Linked DNA regions of Arabidopsis thaliana. The protein of the gene in region 3 interacts with the protein of the main gene of each other region in a pairwise test. Each region holds a gene or a part of one and is shown on either strand. Other genes may lie near its edges. The genes, in order: AT2G38330, AT3G61260, TPI and AT2G23093.

Region 1 (5,110 bases), on a different chromosome or scaffold from region 3:
ATCCTGTTTGTCGGTTTAGAGGTGTTCGACAAAGGGTTTGGGGGAAATGGGTTGCTGAGATACGTGAACCAGTGAGTCACCGTGGTGCAAACTCTAGTCGTAGTAAACGGCTTTGGCTTGGCACGTTTGCTACTGCAGCTGAAGCTGCTTTGGCTTACGACAGAGCTGCTAGTGTCATGTACGGACCCTATGCCAGGTTAAATTTCCCGGAAGATTTGGGTGGGGGAAGGAAGAAGGACGAGGAGGCGGAAAGTTCGGGAGGCTATTGGTTGGAAACTAACAAAGCCGGTAATGGCGTGATTGAAACGGAAGGTGGAAAAGACTATGTAGTCTACAATGAAGACGCTATTGAGCTTGGCCATGACAAGACTCAGAATCCTATGACTGATAATGAAATAGTGAACCCAGCAGTGAAATCAGAGGAAGGTTACAGCTATGATCGATTCAAATTGGATAACGGATTGTTGTATAATGAACCTCAAAGCTCCAGTTATCACCAGGGAGGTGGATTCGATTCATATTTTGAGTATTTCAGATTCTAGCTTAGGATTTATGCTGCATCAATATACTATGACTATGAGACTATGTTTTTTACATTGTTAGTTTACTCCATTTTCATTTATCTTAACTTAAGAGTCACGCATCATACCGCAAAAAACAGTGATCCGCTTCATTCTGGCTTCTCTGGAGCAGACCATAGCATTTTCCATGGACCGGTTCTTGTCCCCAATCTGAAACATGACGCAGTATCCTTTTAAGAAAAATTTCGGATGGGTTGAAAACTTGAAACTAGAACGGTCTTTTTAATTAATTGTTTACCTCCAGGCTCCAGCAACCAACCGCAACGCCATGAAGAGGAACAAACCAGTCCAGATCCCGGCAAGGCCAAACGTTGGTGCAGCCACAAGCATGAACAAGGAAGATATGAATCCGACAATCACCTGTTCCAAAATGAGAAATAATCAACTTTTTCCAGGTGAAGAAAAGGGAGAATCAAACGACCAATTGATGAAGAAGGAAAAGGGACCATAGAATAAGCGGCAAATCCGAAGTCAGAGACACCATAATAGAGCCCATCCAAAACAAACGCTAGAGCATTCACCGGTTGAGATCCAGCCACAAACTGCATCCAGCCAACATTATTTAGATATTGTCTGAGACTACCCTTTTCAAACTCTTTCTGGATTAAAAGATAAGATCTTACTAAGGTCCCTGACAAAGCAATCTTTAAAACTTCTGAATCCGTTGTGAATAAGCTTGAAAATGGTTCGAAAGTGATGAACAATACAGCAGCCAAACCAGTTCCAGTTGCTAAACCTACCTACTTAAAAGATTGCAATTGTACATTATAACATCGAATATATAGGGTAGGATATAAACTAGGGATGTAATGAATTATGAATACGAACTTGAAGGACTCCGAAGAGAACTTCCCGGGCTTGTTTGTATTCTCCTTGAGAGTAAGTGGTGGCAAGAAGACTCTGAAAATAGAGGTAGAAAATATAAGTGAAAATCTTCTCCCCAAAAGGTAATCTTGGATCATGCTAATGGGATTCTTATATCACAGTAAATCTTGGTAGAGATTGTCTGTTTCGAAGATGATTTGCAAAAGATATTAGACCTGTGCAGCAATGGCTAAAGCATCGGTGAGTAAAGAGACAGCCAACCAGATTTCCAAGACGATTTGATGGCCAGCCATTTGAGTGGGTCCATTTTGAGCTGCTAACGAAGTAGCTAATGTGAATGGCACAAGCAAAGCCACCGTTCTACCAATGAGAAGCCCACCTAAGCATGAATCAATACATTTCATATAGTAGCCTTTCTGAATCGTTTAAAGAAAACTTGAAAATTTTAAGGAATTACCTGATTTGAGGTACTGGTTGGCTCTTCCCACTTTGATTTGAGGAGAGAGCAAAACTACATTCTCATTCAACTTCCATAGAAGAATAAATGCAATCAAGTATCTGAAGAAACGTTGACAAGTGAGAAACATAAGAAGCCACAAATTAAGATAGATATGCTTTACTAGAAAACGAGTCTATTACCACATTTTTGGACATACTCAGAAATCACAGTAGCAGCCGCAGCACCAGAGATACCAAAACCAAGGACAAATATCAGGATTGGATCCAATACCGCATTAAGTACATTCCCCGCAACTGTTGATATAGAGTTCACCATATTAGAAACATGTATGTGAAACTGCTAATGCATATATACGGTCTAGTGAGCTAATGCGCATATACTATTTATTTCCTCAGATCCATTCATGCATAAATACAAAAAAAATAGATGATTGTGCAATACTTGCCAACGGCATATAGAGGCGTTGTTGTGTCCTTGAAACCTCGAAAAGCTCCTTGCGCAGCCAATGCAACAACAATTGGTGGTGCACCATACGCTCGAAGTCTGAGGAACTGCTCTGCTGGTATCCGCATTGGTGAATCCTAAAAAAATTACAAACCGAGAAAGAAGAGCGATCAGCTATACAAAACTTCAAAGATAACAGCTTATATAAAAGAAGTTCAACGTGAGCTTAGAGACATTACAAAAGGTATAGCCATGACATCCATCAAGAAATCAGACCCGAGAGATAGCGCAATGGCCTCTGCAATACCAACTCCAGCAGCAAGAACTAATGAAGTTGAAACCGAAGGCAGCACTTTCTTGCCTTTAACACCAACAAATAAACAACAGATTCAAAGTAAAGAAACAATCTTTGAAGAAAACAATAAAAACATTTTTCATTATAAGCTTTAAGGAAAGTAAAATACTTGTTTCTATAGAATCATTATCATCCTTAGCAGCAATTGCTTGCTCCTCCGCAACAAACGATGTTGTGACATTTAGTAAAGGAACATTGAAGAGCTTCGACACCAAATTGAATACAGAAACTGACACTCCTACTGCAGCTAATTCCGCAGAACCTGTCACATTACACATATGAATGTTAAAAATGTGAACTTTCGAAAAATGTGAAATTGTTGAAACCAAGCAAAAAGTAAGTATTTACCAATATGGCCAACGAAGGCAGTGTCGACAAGAGATGTTATAGGATCAGCAGCTAAAGCTAATGCAGCAGGTAATGCAATTGACATTATCTCCATTCCAATTTTACCAATCCTAAACCCAAAAAAATCAAATACATTAGAAACCATTCAAAGTTGAATACAGAAGAAGCATTATTAGGCTAAGGTACGAACCCAGGATCCGGTTTGTGATCATGATCCGGTTTATTCTGTGAAGTCAGAGGATTCTGCTGCTTTTCCGGTCGCTGAGAAGAAGTGGAGACGGCTGGAGATTCATCGCGAGGAGATGATTTACAGACGATTGTTCTTCGAATGGATGAATTAGGGTTTCCAAAACGTGACGGCGATCGATGGGGAGAGAAACAGAAGGAGGTAGCGACCGCCGCCATTGCGGAGAACGAGAGACGGAGAAAAATCTCGGCGGAGGAGGAAGAAAGAGAGCCACATGTTGATGTTCACTCTTTTTATCTATCTCTACTCACTAACTGATTAAACGGTCACATGTCTAAACTAGCTGTACCTTATGGATGGGCCTTTAATGGGCTTTTTATTGGGCTTTTAAATAGCTTGTTTGTTTGTTACTTTGTTTTTTGTTTTTTTTTCTGCCAATGTTACACTTTGTATCTTTAAGATAGCTTCATCTTTTTTCTTTGTTGTGCCGTGACTCTCATATGTAAGTCATGAGTTTGATTCGTGTATTATCACTCACTTTCTCAATTTAGCAACAACTCAAAAGAAATATCTCTTTCTCCAGTTATCTTGTGACTTGGATTTGCATTTTTTTTATACACTTAAAATTTTGTTTAGTTGTTTTTTGAATGGATCCAAATTTGGATTATAGGTCCGCATATTTTGATTTTTGGGAGTATATTTGAAATCCGCATATCTAGTGTTCAAGAATCTTGATATAGAAAGTTGTAAGATCATTTGATATCCTAAAACTCAGAATTCTTTTTTTGGGTTCAAAAGCAATAACTAGTTCTTAAGAGCATATATTGGGAAAAAATAAAAATAAAGATCAAGGACGTGTTTCATGATTCAGCAGAGTTGGTTTTTGTTTTGTTTTTTGGGTTCAAAAGCAGAGTTGGATTTTAATAGATAAAGAAACATAGAGTACAAGAGTAAGGCATAGAATTGAAGTCAGCCAATTTACATCGAAAATTGGAGCGTTAGTTAAAAGAATTTATTGAGAGAGTTGCGACGCCGTGCAGCATCAGCAGAGCAGCCTCACATGACTTGCGGTCCCAGCAAATTACAGAAGAAGAAGACCTATCCTCTCTCTTTTTGAACAACCTGATTATGCACGTTGAAATACAGTAACACGTCTAACACTAGTATCATATTAAGTAAATAATACTAAATGGACCATATAACTCTTCATTCAACTTTATCAATAATGTAAGTTTGTAAGGTATTAATTAAATACCGGGGTTTACTTCTCCTATGATTATTTTATAACATTAGAATTTTGTAGTAGCATTAGGCTGTATTTTGAAAAGAAAAAACCTTTGTAATAGCATTACTATTTTACTCAGTAGTTAGAAGATGTGTTAGGAACTTGTATATGATTGGTCGGATCGATTACTGATTAAACCTTAAACCGTTGCTCATTGGTCTTTTTTATAACAATTCATAATATAACATATGAAAGAATGAAATACATATAATATATAGCTTGGGAACGCGTTCTCCTAAATTCCATACAACAGTTTGTCACTAAAATACCAAATTAGTAATTCTAAATACCAAATTATCCATTATTGACCAATACTGGTTATCATCCATTCCAAATTTAGATATAGACATACTTAGTGGCACAGGCTGTATACAACAGTTTGTCACTAAAATTCATTGTAAATGGCTACTTTCTCCTAAATTCAATACAACGTTTTACGTTGCAACCTTTGCAAAATATAATGATTTTTACAACGAAAATGAATACTACATATCCCAACGTTTTGACTATATTATAAATCCCAATGTTTGCAGAAAGTCACTGGACTACCAAGACAAACTAAATAGTTATTTAGTTTAAACAAGCGAGATGTATAACTTCTATATACAGAGCAACTATCTTTGGT
Region 2 (4,114 bases), 2.1 Mb from region 3:
TTTGATAAATTATTTCCTTTTTAACACTTGTTTTTCTTTTATTAATTATTTTAAAACTAATATTTTTTAAATTACTATTTAATTTTTAAATTTTGGATATGTATTAAATTTTTAAATTTTGTGTAAACTAATTTAGTTACGTAAAAGAACCGGATTTAGCATTCCGTCTTTTTTTGTTTGTAAGTATTGTGATTTCATTAAATTTAACACGTTTTCACATATTCAAAATTTAACACTTAAGGTTTTTCACAAGTAATATTATTAGTAAATTGTTTTCATTTTTAACTCAAAGTTTTTTACTATTAAAACTGTTTTTATTTTGAAATATGTTTTAGACATAAGTGTTAATTTAAAGATGTAAAAATAAAACTGATTTAGCATCATGTCCTTTTAGTCTGTAAGTTTTGTGTTATTAGTTCAACATTTTTTCATGTATTGTAAATCTCACATTTCGTTAGCTTTTAATGTTTTTCACAAATAATTTTCGAAGAAAATTGTTATAATTTAAACGAAATTAAATTTAAGTGTTACATTCAAAAATACGTTATAAACAAACTGAACTTAGGATCCCGTCCTTCGAATTTCTTTTGGTCCATTAGCTACTGTTATTAGTTGAAGAACTTTAGAAAATCTCCTCATATTCTTAATGACTTGAGTCATCAATCTTCTCTCCATGATGTGATGTGACAATGCTTGAGAAAATTGCGGAAAGAAAACAATGAAACATATTTTTCACTCTGATTGTCACACACAAAATCAATATACAAACAACATTACAAGCCATTAAAGAGAACAGAGAAATTTGATTACACTTTACAGTTACGAAGTCTTGAAACTTTGATTCGCAAATTCAAGATTAGAAACATCCACAAGTTGCCTTTGGAACAATTCCAGTGGCTCTGTATTTAGCAGCCGTTTCTTCTGCTTTAAGAACGTCTTCTCCACGCTTAGCTTCAATCATTGCTCTTCTCTCTTCTGCTTCCTTGTGAATCGCTGCAACCTTATTCTTCATCCTCTCTGCATACTCTGCTTTCTTCTTCTCTAGTTGCTCCTGCATTGAGAAAAAACTCACAAATTAACACTTCACTTCTCAATCACATTAAAACCGTTTCACCTCTCTATTGCTAAGTTTATTATACCTCGATTTTCTTGAGTTGCGCTTCGACAGCTGCTTTCTTGCTGTTTTCCCAAGCATGAACATCTGCAATCTTCTTCTCAGCTCTGTTTCATGTCAATAGTCAGCAAAATCAGGCAAAGAACATAAAAAAGCCAAAACCTAAAACCAGTGACGATAAAATAAAATGTCTTACTTGTTCTCTGCTTTGCTCTTTTCGCTTTCTTCCCACGCTCTGACGAAAGACAATCTCTTTTCCTTTGACAAATCAGCTAGCTTAACATCTACAAACCAAACAATGGAACTCAGAAACTTTAACAAACATTACATCCAGAAAGAAGTCACACAATTTTGTTTAAGCTCACCTCTATCGAGCGATGCAGACGCAGGTTTCGCCGGTGCAGGCTCTTCTACAGGTTCTGTAAAAAAATTCATTCCGTTAAAATTTCAAACATAACCAGCAAAATTGCCACAGAAGAGAGTCACAAGCAAACACATACAAAACATATGCATGGTTATGAACATAAAGCTACAATTTTTGGGTGCTTAATGACCATATACATTGAATTATACATCACAACAAAACTAAATTTACCAATCTCGAGACTTTAAATCGAAACGAATTCGAATTTAACTGTGCACTCTAATCGTATTTCAATGACAAATTCTATCTCTGGAGCAACCCAATCCTAATAACCAATAAAACCTAATTTTTAAAATACAGAACCAAGTTAACCCCAAAACCAATATTTCCTCGTCAAAGCAGAAGATTATCAGAGAACAGAATCCATAATTACATGCGTTAAGAGAAATTAACTTACTCTCAACAACAGTAAGGGCTTTGGAGTCATCGAAAATTTGCTCCGGAGGTGGGTTTTGAATTTTCTCCTCTGCAACGTCTTTCGTGACATCAGCCGGAGTCGGAGCTGGAGCTGGAGCCGGAATCTCTGCCGGAGCTGGAGCCGGTGTATCTGCTGGAGCAGGAGTCGTAACCTTCGCCGGAGATTCTGATTCTAACGCTATCTTCTGTTCCTCCGCCATAGTCGCCGCCTCTCAGCCGAAGAAATAGAGAGGAAAAAAGAAAACCAAATTAAAAACGAAATATGAAAAATTGAAGATATTATTTCCAAGCAACAGAAAGATGTTTATACGTATTAGCCGCGTTTTTTTGGGGTTAAAAATACCTTATTTTATTATCCGTTGATATATAAAGGCATCAGATCCTACGGTTATAAATCCATTTGTTGTGTATCCACGTGAACTGCGATGCAGCCGAACACAAAAATTCAGCTTGCCGACAGACAGGTAATGCGGTTAAACATATGCCACGTAAGCAAATGTCAATTTGTTTTCATTAGTAAATTGTTTTTCTGTTTAAATAATAATATGTCGGACGAAAGCGTGACGTGGAGGAAGACACGCTGGAGACAGATAAGATACTGAGTTGTTGTGACCCCACGCACTCTATTGGCGCGTGGATATTATCCATGTTTGTAGGAGCGCGTGTATAAGACGTGCCGTATAAGATGGGCCTAATTTATTGGGCTCGATTCATATTCTTTATTTAGAGGTTTTTAGGAAAGATCCAAAAGCTATCTGACAGGATTTGTTTTCCAAAAAGACTAAACTGATCCAAACTACTCCGAGATTCGCTCCGTAAATACACATTTGTTTTCTATCATTCTATATGATGCGGAAGCGTTAGTACAACTGTACAGATATCATAGTTTAAGTTCCATTACTAAACTAAGTCACTACTCACTAGACATCAAGCATAGAAGTTAGTAACTTTTAATGAAGCTCTTTTGATTTTACAAAAAAATTAGGGGAGATGTTAACACTTAACACAACACCTACCTATAACCAACACTGATATGATATCTTCCAAAATCCAAACCATGGACGTAAACCGATCTTAACCAACTGTTTCCATCTGAATAGGGATGAAGGTAAAATTGTTATGTCTAAGTGGGAAAAGCATGACTTCAGAAAAGGCCTAATCACATTCACAGCGTCAGTTATTAATATATCGCATACCTTATAAAACTTTGATTTGTGTGTTTAACTAGTGTTTGCTATCTTTAAAGAAGTCAATAAAAACAATTTAAAATGGCTTATATGGACAAAGATAAGAGTTAGTGACTGGAATGTGCCTAATTATCAAGTGCATCTTACATTATTGATCTTGTTGTACTTACTAAAACTAAAAGTGCAATTTGGCACGTCCACTCTCGTAGTTGGAGGTAGTTAGAAAATATTGACTTCTTAGACCGTGCCATGTTAATACCATTTAATGTTACTGGAAACAAATACTAATAAATAATACGTCACTTAAAACAAAATGTCTATACAAATACTATTAACATAAAACAAAATCTCTAGACCTGTATTACATCACATGCATCTCTTACTTATAAACAATAAACTTCTTTATTGTATGTTTTAGGGAATAAATATATGAGTTTGATGTCATATCATGTTTTTTTTTTTGTTATCTTCATACTTTTGTGTTGCGTTTCTGTTGATTCTCCTTTTATGTATCCTCTCGGCTCTCTCGTTAATCTTTTATTACATAAACTCGTGCATCAACATAAACACAAAACAGAAGCATGAAGATGAATAACAACGACGGCCAACATAATAAAACGGTGACATTTCCTCGAAAAAGCATCGTGAAGGCTACTGTTTTCATCGTCGTTCTATTCATTTCAGCTGCTATCTTAGACTTACTGGGCTATCTCGATTTCGTGGGTTTTAATATCACCTTACATTCTTGGTTTATCTTTAATATAAATCGCAGTAGTTAACGTTAATCATAATCATAATTTGTCTTATTGTTTTGTTTTATAGAATGCTTTTGCAGGTTTAAAGCTAACAACAAAGACAAAAGAACCAAATCCTTACGGATGCGACTTCGTACAGAACCAATCAAGTCAAACTCCTATCTCACAAAACCGCAAATCGAGATTAAACCCCAACAACAGTTCAAAATCATCCACG
Region 3 (5,433 bases):
CAACTATATAATATAATACTCATAAAAATTCAATCCCTACTTTCTTAAATATTACTCAGAAATAAATAAAATATAAGTCACCAGAAATGTGGGTTGACTTGGGAGATAATACGTTATCACATTTGTAGCTGAGTCACATATTGTGGAGTTTTTATTGGCACTAGTTGGATTTTCGTGGTCGGATCAAAATCCATACACATTTTCATCATACTGAGTCCAATTTTTTAATAAATGGTTTGAACAATTCTGACATACGGGAGCTCTTATTTTGGACTTAACCGTCTCTTTTACATTATCACTTTAGTTCCACTGAGCCGTTTTACTCAAATTACATAAGCATTTTGTTTTCTACAAACATTGACATTCCTAATACAATGAGTTTCTCCATGAAATTTCTTTTCCTTTTTTACTCTCTACATAATAATTTCGTAATGTTGGACATTTTTCAAGATGATGACAATAAAGTTGAAAATAATAATGTTCTAAAAGCTAAAATGTCAAAAATGACAGACCAATAGGCAAAAAGCGATAAAAGGGAAAAAATAAAGTCATTTCCCACTTCTCCTGTATTCTCTCGTCATTTATTTAACAAGTAAAGCCATTTTCAAAGTGGTTGACAGCATGATTCAGAGATCAAGCATGACAAAATACCAAAGTCTAAAATGGAACAAACAACATATTATATAACACACAGGTTTATGATCGGACGACATTAGAAATAGGGGTTTGATCAAAAGGCCCGAGGGGTTATGAACTCCAAACACAGATTCTCTGAAGAGTTGAGAAGACTGTAAAAGGAAGGGATTTGCAAATTGCAAGTCCACAGCTAAATAAATGGCGAAGAAAATGATTGTTGCGTTCTCAAAACAATATAGTAAGAGAGAAACTTTTGCCAAATACAACTGAAGCAAAATGTATCATATCATAATACCAACTTATTCATTTTTTCAGAGTTGCGACTGGAAAAGCAAAGGACTTTTAAATTGCTTAATGAGCTCATTAGGCACTTTTCTTCACCTCTGCGGCCTTAATGATGTCGATAAACTCAGGCTGCAAAAAGACCAAGAATGAAAACATTAGTCATGGTTTTGAAAGAGACAAACGAAAGATATCATTACAAGAGAAACCATATTATATGTACCTTTAGAGAAGCACCACCGACCAAGAAACCATCAACATCGGCCTGTCCACCTAGCTCCTTGCAGTTACCACCATTGACGGATCCTGATAATAATTTGCATAATCAAGCTAAGTAACATAGAAAACTATATAGGGGTGTTTAATTAAAGATCGTGTTATCATCTATCTACCTCCATAAATGATGCGGGTTGTAGCAGCGACATCAGCACTCACGTTCTTGGCCAGCCATTTCCTCAGCTCATCGTGTACCTGTTCATAAACGAAACAAGCTCTCGTAAGGAAAACAGCATTGGTTTTCCTATTAAATCATGACCATATGCAACACGTTACAGTGCAACTGCGCATCGAGAACCACTTACTTCTTGAGCTTGGGCTGGGCTAGCGACCTTTCCGGTTCCAATGGCCCACACTGGTTCATAGGCTATGACAACATTTGACCAGTTTGTCACCCGATCTGCCATTACCAACAAAAAGAGTTTTTTAGCCAACAAATATTTCTGTGGGGTTTGAATCACACACTAAGGGAGTATAGTGCGTAGAAACGGGCATCACTATCATCAAAACAGGTCTCACTGTAAACGAGAACGAACTGAGATAGCAAAAAGAGATTAAATGTTTGACAATATACATACCGGCAATAGCCTTGGTCTGGGCAGCCACAACATCCATGGTCGATCCAGCTTCCCGCTCCTCAAGAGTCTCACCAACACAAGCAATCACTTTCAAACCTTGAGCAAGTGCATAGGCAACCTTGTCTCCGACGAACTACAAATGTAGGATAGAGGTCAAAAACCAAAATCATGAATTTAAAAGCTATTTGAGTCTCCAGAAAATTATTTTATCATGTAAAGTCACCAACCTCGCTTGATTCATTAAGGATTGCCCTCCTTTCAGAGTGACCAAGGATAACCCATGGAATATCCAAGTTCACAAGCATCTCCGCACTAAAACACACAAATTACACAATGCATAAGAGCAGGAAATACAGGCACCACAGAATATATCTTTTCTTCCTATGAAAGCATTCCATAGACAGGTAAATCATATTACACCTACTTGTCTAACCAGGCACGAATCCAATCATGGTCTTACTACCAACTACTAGTTGTTTTCTTAATCACTTAGGTTACACAATTCTTATAGGAAAGAAGATAAAGAAGAAGAACAGATGGAAAAATCGATTCGTTTATAAACACAATCATATTCATTTTCAAAACCATAAATATTTACTGCATGAAGCAATAATGGTAAAACAGCTTAAAGTATACACCAATGGTTAGAATCTCACCTCACTTCACCAGTGAAAGCACCTCCTTTCTTAACCCAACAGTTTTGTGCCGCAACAAAAAAGTCAGACCTCAATGTGCTCTTAACCAGGGGAAGAAAAACATATGGAGGGCTAACCACAACCTCTGCATTTAGTAAAATTTCATCAAATTATTAATACAAGAACAAACATACTTATAACTATCAACAAAGATAGAACCATAACAAGTATATGATAAAGAACATTTTAACTAACAACAAACACTAGATCTATCCATGGTTCCTAAGAAGCATAAACACTATAGAACATCGATGTACATTGAAACAGGTTTGTAATTGTATGCCCAAAATATTTGTCACTACTTAAGATTTCATAGACATGGAAATTAAAAAAAAAGCCATAATGTCGTCAAAGCAATTGAGATGCTACACATACCTACAACATCCTGTGAAGGAACCTGAGCTTCATTAAGAGTGTTCACAATCTTCTTCACCTCCTCAGCAGTTCCGTTCTATATAAGATTACAAATTCAAATATTAACATGTTAAAATAGTTTAACCAACAAAATTAACACACGGATCCACCAAAGCTAGAACACGAGATATCAATTGAAGAAAAATTCCTACTCAAAATTTTGACAAAAAAAAACAACTAAGATCCGGCATAGAATCGACAAATCTGAACCATATGCATTACAATTCAAATTCCACCGCTACAAATAATGAAAAAAACCTTAGATCTTAAGATCGGGATTTTCCGATCTCTTTGACTTGATCGGGGAAGGATCAAGTGACAAGACTAATAATAAGGTGCGCAATAGAAGGTAAAGATCACTTACACATTTCCAGTTGCCTCCGACGAAGAACTTTCTGGCCATTATCTCAAATTTTTTTCAGGCGATGATCACGAGAGTCACAGATACGACGACGATGGAGAGAGCTGAAAAGATTAGATCGATAGTGTTCAGTGGCCGTTGTCTCTCGCAGGGGTCACTCATATATATATAAATAAAAATATACTCTCAACATTTTAGATTGGAAAAGACGCATATGTCTAGGGTATATGAGAATATTCCCTGAACGATTAGGAAAGTTGAGGATATTAAAGTAAATTAGGAGGGAGGATGAAATATTATGGACGTGTTGGCCAAGGTTTGGTCGGTGTACCGGGTGGGGTGAATAATAAGAATAGACAACGGCGTGGATAGTGATGCTGTTGTATGGGCTTTAGGCCCATTAAAGCAAGCACATCAATAAAACCCAAGTTTGGTTAAAGGAAAGCCTATTGAGATGATTCTGAAACCAAATTATATTTGTATTCCCTTAAAGATAAATTCTGTATTACGCAATTCTTTCTTTTTTTTTCTTTTTTTTTTTTGGTAAAAGTTTAAATCGTATTATGCAATTCTATATTGTAATGCCCCTTCTTGGATACAAATAGTGTGGAGAAGGAGAAAACTGTTGTAAGTTCTCAAGTTAAACTACTAAACCACCATGAGAGCATTGAGCCGGCTCACTTCAAACATTGTGGCATACTTCAACAAACATATTGTTAGTCTAAAGGGCTATCGAGTGGCATCGATTATTTTATGTGATATCATTAAAAAGTAACAATGGTAATTTGTTATTGCAAAAAATAAGGATGGGATTTAATTAAAAAAATACAAAATTACGTGGTTTGTGTGTGTGTGCAATGAGTGTAACCATGTCATTGAAAATGACAATAAACTGTTAACAATGAGACATGGACGCGGATCTTCTTTTCCCAAAGAAAGCATAACAAATGGCTAAAGCGTGTCGGTAAAAGTTACTTCGAATCAGCTTCCTCAACAACATCTTCATACTTCGAATCTCTTTGACTTTGGTCCGTAGTGTTCAAACTCCAAACTATTCCTCCTACAAACACGTGTCCAATGGGCCAATGGCATTATCCCAAACCGCGTCGATCTCTCTTCTTTTTCTTTTCACTTAATATTTAACCATATACATTTCGTTGATACATCAATATTACTAATCGATTTTTTTTTTAGTTTTAAGTTTAGCAGTAAAAACTCAGATAGTCTCCTTTGACCTCATTAAGAACATCTTTTAATAAACGTATCCAAGAAAAAACAACACTCGATCTCTCTTTTGTTTTCTTAACTTCACTTTAGTTCCTTTTTTTCAAATATAGTTCATCCGTATCTGGATAAAATTAGGATTGTAAAATTACGATTAACAAGAAAGAGGTATATTTTTAGATTAAACTTGGATAGTATGAGTATTTACCAGCCAAAAACCATTAAAGAAAAAGATGACAAATTGATTATCCAAACAAAAGCAGACTCTATAATTAGCCAAATTAATTAACTAAAGTTTCCACGGTCACAACAAAATCCACTTTTTCAATAATTTACAACGGCCTAAATTTAAGCCGACGCACATGAAAAACAAAGACAACACAAACTTCTTCTTTTATTTTGCTTTCCACAAAATCCAGCTGTTCCTCACTAAAAATATACACACGTATACGCTATACAAAACGGTCATATCTATTAATTTTTATTATAAATACTTTCTCGATAAGAATAAAAAAATCTATTCGTCGTAATAATAAAAACACAACTCAAACGATTCACGGGTTTCACTTGGAATCGTTTGGTTTTCTCATTTCCGAAATATAAAAAGATGGCCAAAGCGCCACCGTCAATCTCTCTTCTCCTCCTCCTCTGCGCCGCCGTATTCCTCACCATCCCCGCCGTGATCTCCGCCATCGGTGTTAACTACGGAACTCTCGGAAACCTCCCACCACCGACTCAGGTGGCTAACTTTATCAAGACACAAACTTCGATTGATAGCGTCAAGATCTTCGATGTGAATCCCGATATCCTACGTGCCTTCGCTGGAACTGGTATCTCCGTCGTTGTCACCGTTCCTAACGGTGATATTCCGGCGTTGGCTAACGGAAGACAAGCTCGTCGGTGGGTTTCGGTTAACATTTTGCCGTTTCATCCTCAGACGAAGATTAAGTATATCTCAGTCGGAAAT
Region 4 (5,230 bases), on a different chromosome or scaffold from region 3:
TTCGTTTTCTTGCTTCGGATTTTATTAAAGTTGATTCAAAACTACCATCTGTTGATCCTCCACTCATGGCTCAACATATGAATGCAGGTCGTGACTTTCCTATTGTTCTTATCGAGTGTCGAAGAAGGTGGAGAGACGATGTTCCCATTCGAGGTAATCATTGTTTCTTTCTTTCGATTTAACATGGTTGGGATTTTGAGTTGTAAAACAGAATGGTTTTGTGGAAGCAGAATGGGAGAAATATGAATGGAAGATATGATTATGAGAAGTGTGTTGGTCTGAAAGTAAAGCCGCGACAAGGAGACGCCATTTTCTTCTACAATTTGTTTCCAAATGGAACGATCGATCAAGTTAGTGTTCCTGACAATCAAAAACCTCATTTAAGACATAAAATGTTTGATCTTTCTCAGAATTTTGGGTTTGTTGTTGCAGACATCTCTACATGGAAGCTGTCCTGTTATCAAGGGTGAGAAATGGGTTGCCACCAAATGGATAAGAGACCAAACATATGATTGAAGATAATTCAGATTTGACTTGTAACTTGTAAAAATTTCATTCATATTTACTAGTAAAACAATAATGCCTAAAAGGTCCAAAGGAGATGATCTTAATAAGACATGAATCAAACAATCATTTAAAATAATAGAATCCTCTTAAACTAATAATCAAACCTCTTATACTGCTTTCATTGCATCTTTGAACTTCCAAGGTTTTGTGTTTCCTCACTTCATGCTGCTACAAAATCGAAGCGAGACCATTAACACAAGATCATAGACCAACTTGAGTTTCCAGTAGATTTATCTTCGTTTTGCCTTGTCCTGCTTCCGCATAAGTATCATAACCAGAGACCACGAGTTACTCAGGATCATAATTTGTGCCAATCATGGTGTGGTGACTTTCCCCATCGTCTCAACATATATATACAACCAGATGCAGTGAATAAAGAAATGGCACCAAGAGCCATCATTGTTGAGTTCTCGATCTTGTTAGAGTAGCCTCTCTGCAATATTAAGATCGGTAAGGTAACAGAAACAGAAGCAAAATAGGTTAACAATTGTGTTTTTGATAGCACAAACCTGGATTAAGAAAAACAAAATAGCTGCATTGGCTGGAACTTGAGAGAGGCTTATCATCCCTCCACGCAATTCATTTGGTACATACCTATAAATAAAGATAACAGTCCGTTACAACAGAGAAGAAAGGTTCTTCTACTAACAAAGAATGTCTCTGATGAATAATAAGGAAAAATATATAAGAGCATTACATTGTTCTTAATCTTGCAAGCAAAGGAAGTGCCAGTCCAGCAAAGCCATGAAATAAGCAGAAAAGTACTACTAAGATTCGGATTTCCTGCAGGATATGGTCTTTTATGCGTGAGGCCTTCCATATGAAGCAAATAAGTTTTTCACTGGTACACTTTTGTGAAACAAGCAAATAAGTTACCTGATAATCATAGGCTACTATAGAAAACACTATCCCAAGTAGTGCGTATATGTAGACTAAGCAATCTTCAAGCCGGAGCAATGATTGTCCACTCATTAGCCATGGGAATACAGTACTCCCAAGCATTCTTGAACCCAAGAAACATGGATATATCAATCCCAGATTCACTTCACGCCCATCAGCCTAAACAAACATAACTCATTTTAATCATTCCATTGTCGAGAAATAAATACCAATAATTTTATCATCTAAAGGCCAATTAGGGAATCACTGGAGGTCCTAAACATCAAATGACAGTAACCATCATTGCTAATTTGATTTCTGAAATATAAAATTTGGTTCAAGCAACTGCAAATATTATATTAGGAAGCTTAATCATACCACTATTGTTGGTGCCCACAGAATCCAAAAGACTGCAGTGGAAAACTGAAGACAGGCTTGTGAAGTTCCCAGAAACCATATTCTTTTGTCTGATCACATTAACAAGCTAAGATTAGCGTATACTCTTTCAGGAATTTTAACTGAATAGATGAAGACAAAATCTTACCACCAAGAACATACGCATAGAAAGCTGTGGAATAATCCCTAAACGGAAGGGTCTTCAACGGCTCTTTTGCAGTCTGGACAATACAAATAATAGTCACAACAGACAAGAGCAGAGACGCCGTAGCAGATAATGCAATCCCATCCTGAACATTTTCACCCACAAGCCAATTTGCAAGAACTTGACCTCCAATTAAAGATGCAGACTCAAGAAAAGTCATCAACCAGAATGTCTCATTTAACGAGTCATTCCTCTGACTTTGCTACAAAGATACAAGACACAGAACATCATTACAAAATCAGAACATTGATTATCTAATAATAAAAACTCAAATGCAATGACCAATCCATATACCTTTTCATGTTCCACAACAAGCCAAGTCTCAAACCCAAATGAATATACAAGACCAGCAAGGGAGAGAAAAACATTTGCAAACCAAGCACTAGGACTCATTGTAATCCTCTTCCACACACCAACAATAAGGTGCAAGACACAATAGAGTAGACAAATTTTCTTCTGACCTCTACAAAAGTTTCGGTATTTATCATTACTAGCACAAAATGAAAACACTTTGATCAACATTTTACTAAAAGCTACTTACATGAGATCAGAAACCACACCAAGTACAGGACCAAGAACAAGAGCGGTCGAATAACCAACACAGAGATAAAACACCATTGATTCTTTACTTAAGCCATAAGTTGTTAACTCCAATTCTCCATACACTGACAATAAACCTTCCATCACTGCCACATTCCAATCAAAGAATTCAAATTGTAGCAAAGGATCCATTTTGATAGACGAGAAAAGGCAAAAGTTGAAAGCTTTCGAAACCAGAAATTGAAAGCACCATAGATACAGATAAAAATCTGTAGACCCAACTGAAGAAATCTAATGATGTACCTGAAGAGAGAGTGTAGATAGCTAGAAACCATCTCTGGAACCGAGCGAAAGAAGAGGAAATAGAATGATCAAAGCTACCAAAAGTTCTGTTTTTGGCCAAGTAAGGAAACAGAGATATCGATAAAAATGTGGAAACGAAGAAGAAGATGAAGAAGCTTGAGCTTGGTTCCCAAATAAAGGTCTCAATAACGACACCCATCGATCCAAAATTCACCGGTAAATCAGCCGGAGAAAGAAGTAAAAGAACAAACAAAAAAACTCAATTACGTCGGAGAGAATTTGAGATCTTGACTGATGTAAGTGGTGCACAAAAAGAAATGAAGCCCAATATTATTATCAGGCCAAAAGGCCCAATAACTATCCCACCCAAAAAATAGTCTTAAGTTGAAGTAAGCTACACAAAATTTTGTTACAATTTGTTTTTGTATAATATTTCTTGACCATTGACATCGCCTTTCACATTTTTTTGAACATGTTTTTTAGTCTTTTTTTTTTCTTTCTTATATGTGTGTGCAACAAAAAAATTCAAGTTCATAGCAAAGATTTAACGTTGGTTGTTTCTAGATGTTTGAATTCACCACAACGCAACTAATCGCCAAAGATGTATATCAAATATGAAAAATTGATTTTTTAGATATTTGAATCTCTCTTAGATCTTTTTAAGAAAATATTTATCGCTCTTTTAATTACTCTTCGATCCTAAAACATTATCTTGGCCACAACGATTTTGTGAGACCAATGGAAATACTAGAAGATTATGGAGTTCAATTTTCAAGATAATTCGAATTTGGTGCGAAATCCAAATTATCATGATGTTGATGAAAATTATGATTTTGTAGGTTTTTCTTTCAAATACTTAGGAAATTTCAGTAAAATAGATAAGATTTTATGAGAACTAATGGATAATGAGGATTCATGATGTTGCATATTTTTCAAGGTTTAACATGAAATATGCAAGATTCTCAAATCCAGATTTCAAGAAGCCATAATTTTGAGATAAAATTTATAGCATATGCATCAAAACACAATAATAATTTAAAACAGAAATTACAAAATAATCATTTCCAAATTTTGATTTTTTGCCCAATTTGAATTTATGTTAAAATTTCTGAATCATGTTTTGGCCGAAAAGAATATGATGAAATCATATGTTAGATGTCAAAATTACGGAATCATCTAGAAAAAATCAAAATGAATTCTTCTAGAAGTTAACAATAGAAACCACTCATTCGCCGGGTGAAATCAATTGACTGACGAGTTGTCTACTAAACGAGCGTTAGTGTGAGTTAAACCTCTAAAGTTTGATAGCTCGAACTACTATCGAGATTCTTCGGACAATCTTTCTTAGTATCATCTCGATGTTCATTGCTATACCATCATTTGCTCTCTTATACTCAATAGACAAGGTAGTAGTTAGCTCGTGCAATCAATAAAAAGCGGTCATATTTTGTGTGAGTGAGTGACTCATTTTTTTTGAAGAAGATAAATCGTGTAGGTTATAGCTTATAGAGACCTAATAAAATTGACATTTACTAGAGTCTGTCCTAAAACAACAAAAAAATAATTTTCCTTTATTTTTAATTTTTTAATTGTAAATTCTGTTTTGTTTTAGTTTTTTTAGAAGTTAACAATATAAACCACTCACTCCCTGAATAATATTAATCCTATCATTTTGCATGAATGAGTGAGTGTCTCAATTCCTTTGAATAAGATAAACTGTACAGGTTATCAATTAGCAAAAAAGAATCTTTTTCTTGGTTTAGATTGAAAACATATTTGTGTGTTGGTCAACTGATTTATTCAGACCAAAAAAAAAAAAAAAACCTCAGTCGTTTAAACGTTAAAGGTTCTTGTTTTAACGGGCCTTAAATGGATAATAAGTCCGAAGGCCCATTATGTTGAATTATCTAGAATCCAAAATAACTTTAGGTGATTGGTGAGTAGGCGAATTAAATGTAAGTGGACATTACAGAAAAAGAATCAAGTGGCATCGTTTTTTTCTTTCTCATATAAATCTTTTCACATTAGAGTCGGCATAAAAATTCCATTTCGTATTTTTCTCTTCTTCCTCTTCTGAAAAATTAGGGTTTGAGTTCTTCTTCTAATCGATCAGAAAGATGGGTGGAGGAAACGCACAGAAATCAGCCATGGCTCGTGCCAAAAACTTGGAGAAGGCTAAGGCTGCAGGAAAAGGTAACAACCAGATTCAATTTTAGGGGTTTTTAGTCAATTTCAAAGATGGAGATTTTAGCCGTAAAATCGTGTTTCTTAATGATTTTTGTATTTGATCTCTCTTATAGGTAGCCAATTGGAAGCTAACAAGAAAGCTATGTCGATTCA

The links.
Region 1: the proteins of TPI (region 3) and AT2G38330 interact in a protein complementation assay, tested with the Arabidopsis thaliana proteins (one large-scale study listed by BioGRID).
Region 2: the proteins of TPI (region 3) and AT3G61260 interact in a protein complementation assay, tested with the Arabidopsis thaliana proteins (one large-scale study listed by BioGRID).
Region 4: the proteins of TPI (region 3) and AT2G23093 interact in a protein complementation assay, tested with the Arabidopsis thaliana proteins (one large-scale study listed by BioGRID).

Annotation. Positions count from the first base shown.
Region 1 is NC_003071.7:16,062,879-16,067,988, reverse strand, and holds AT2G38330 (MATE efflux family protein), read right to left. Parts: upstream 3,487-5,110; 5' UTR 3,419-3,486; coding exon 3,204-3,418; intron 3,124-3,203; coding exon 3,014-3,123; intron 2,928-3,013; coding exon 2,775-2,927; intron 2,672-2,774; coding exon 2,550-2,671; intron 2,448-2,549; coding exon 2,312-2,447; intron 2,160-2,311; coding exon 2,063-2,159; intron 1,965-2,062; coding exon 1,864-1,964; intron 1,786-1,863; coding exon 1,622-1,785; intron 1,482-1,621; coding exon 1,410-1,481; intron 1,322-1,409; coding exon 1,205-1,321; intron 1,124-1,204; coding exon 1,028-1,123; intron 942-1,027; coding exon 820-941; intron 732-819; coding exon 671-731; 3' UTR 552-670; downstream 1-551. Other genes in the region: DREB19 (Integrase-type DNA-binding superfamily protein), read left to right, coding at 1-542.
Region 2 is NC_003074.8:22,674,547-22,678,660, forward strand, and holds AT3G61260 (Remorin family protein), read right to left. Parts: upstream 2,306-4,114; 5' UTR 2,156-2,305; coding exon 1,936-2,155; intron 1,534-1,935; coding exon 1,480-1,533; intron 1,399-1,479; coding exon 1,311-1,398; intron 1,222-1,310; coding exon 1,140-1,221; intron 1,052-1,139; coding exon 857-1,051; 3' UTR 515-856; downstream 1-514. Other genes in the region: AT3G61270 (O-glucosyltransferase rumi-like protein (DUF821)), read left to right, coding at 3,724-3,861, 3,965-4,114.
Region 3 is NC_003074.8:20,551,645-20,557,077, reverse strand, and holds TPI (triosephosphate isomerase), read right to left. Parts: upstream 3,676-5,433; 5' UTR 3,285-3,675; coding exon 3,246-3,284; intron 2,919-3,245; coding exon 2,843-2,918; intron 2,553-2,842; coding exon 2,429-2,552; intron 2,085-2,428; coding exon 2,000-2,084; intron 1,906-1,999; coding exon 1,773-1,905; intron 1,595-1,772; coding exon 1,500-1,594; intron 1,390-1,499; coding exon 1,311-1,389; intron 1,225-1,310; coding exon 1,142-1,224; intron 1,051-1,141; coding exon 1,000-1,050; 3' UTR 518-999; downstream 1-517. Other genes in the region: AT3G55430 (O-Glycosyl hydrolases family 17 protein), read left to right, coding at 5,074-5,433.
Region 4 is NC_003071.7:9,830,052-9,835,281, reverse strand, and holds AT2G23093 (Major facilitator superfamily protein), read right to left. Parts: upstream 3,251-5,230; 5' UTR 3,090-3,250; coding exon 2,891-3,089; intron 2,734-2,890; coding exon 2,589-2,733; intron 2,511-2,588; coding exon 2,342-2,510; intron 2,250-2,341; coding exon 1,991-2,249; intron 1,914-1,990; coding exon 1,825-1,913; intron 1,627-1,824; coding exon 1,444-1,626; intron 1,351-1,443; coding exon 1,265-1,350; intron 1,162-1,264; coding exon 1,077-1,161; intron 1,001-1,076; coding exon 866-1,000; 3' UTR 543-865; downstream 1-542. Other genes in the region: P4H13 (2-oxoglutarate (2OG) and Fe(II)-dependent oxygenase superfamily protein), read left to right, coding at 88-153, 231-350, 433-516; AT2G23090 (Uncharacterized protein family SERF), read left to right, coding at 5,008-5,083, 5,191-5,230.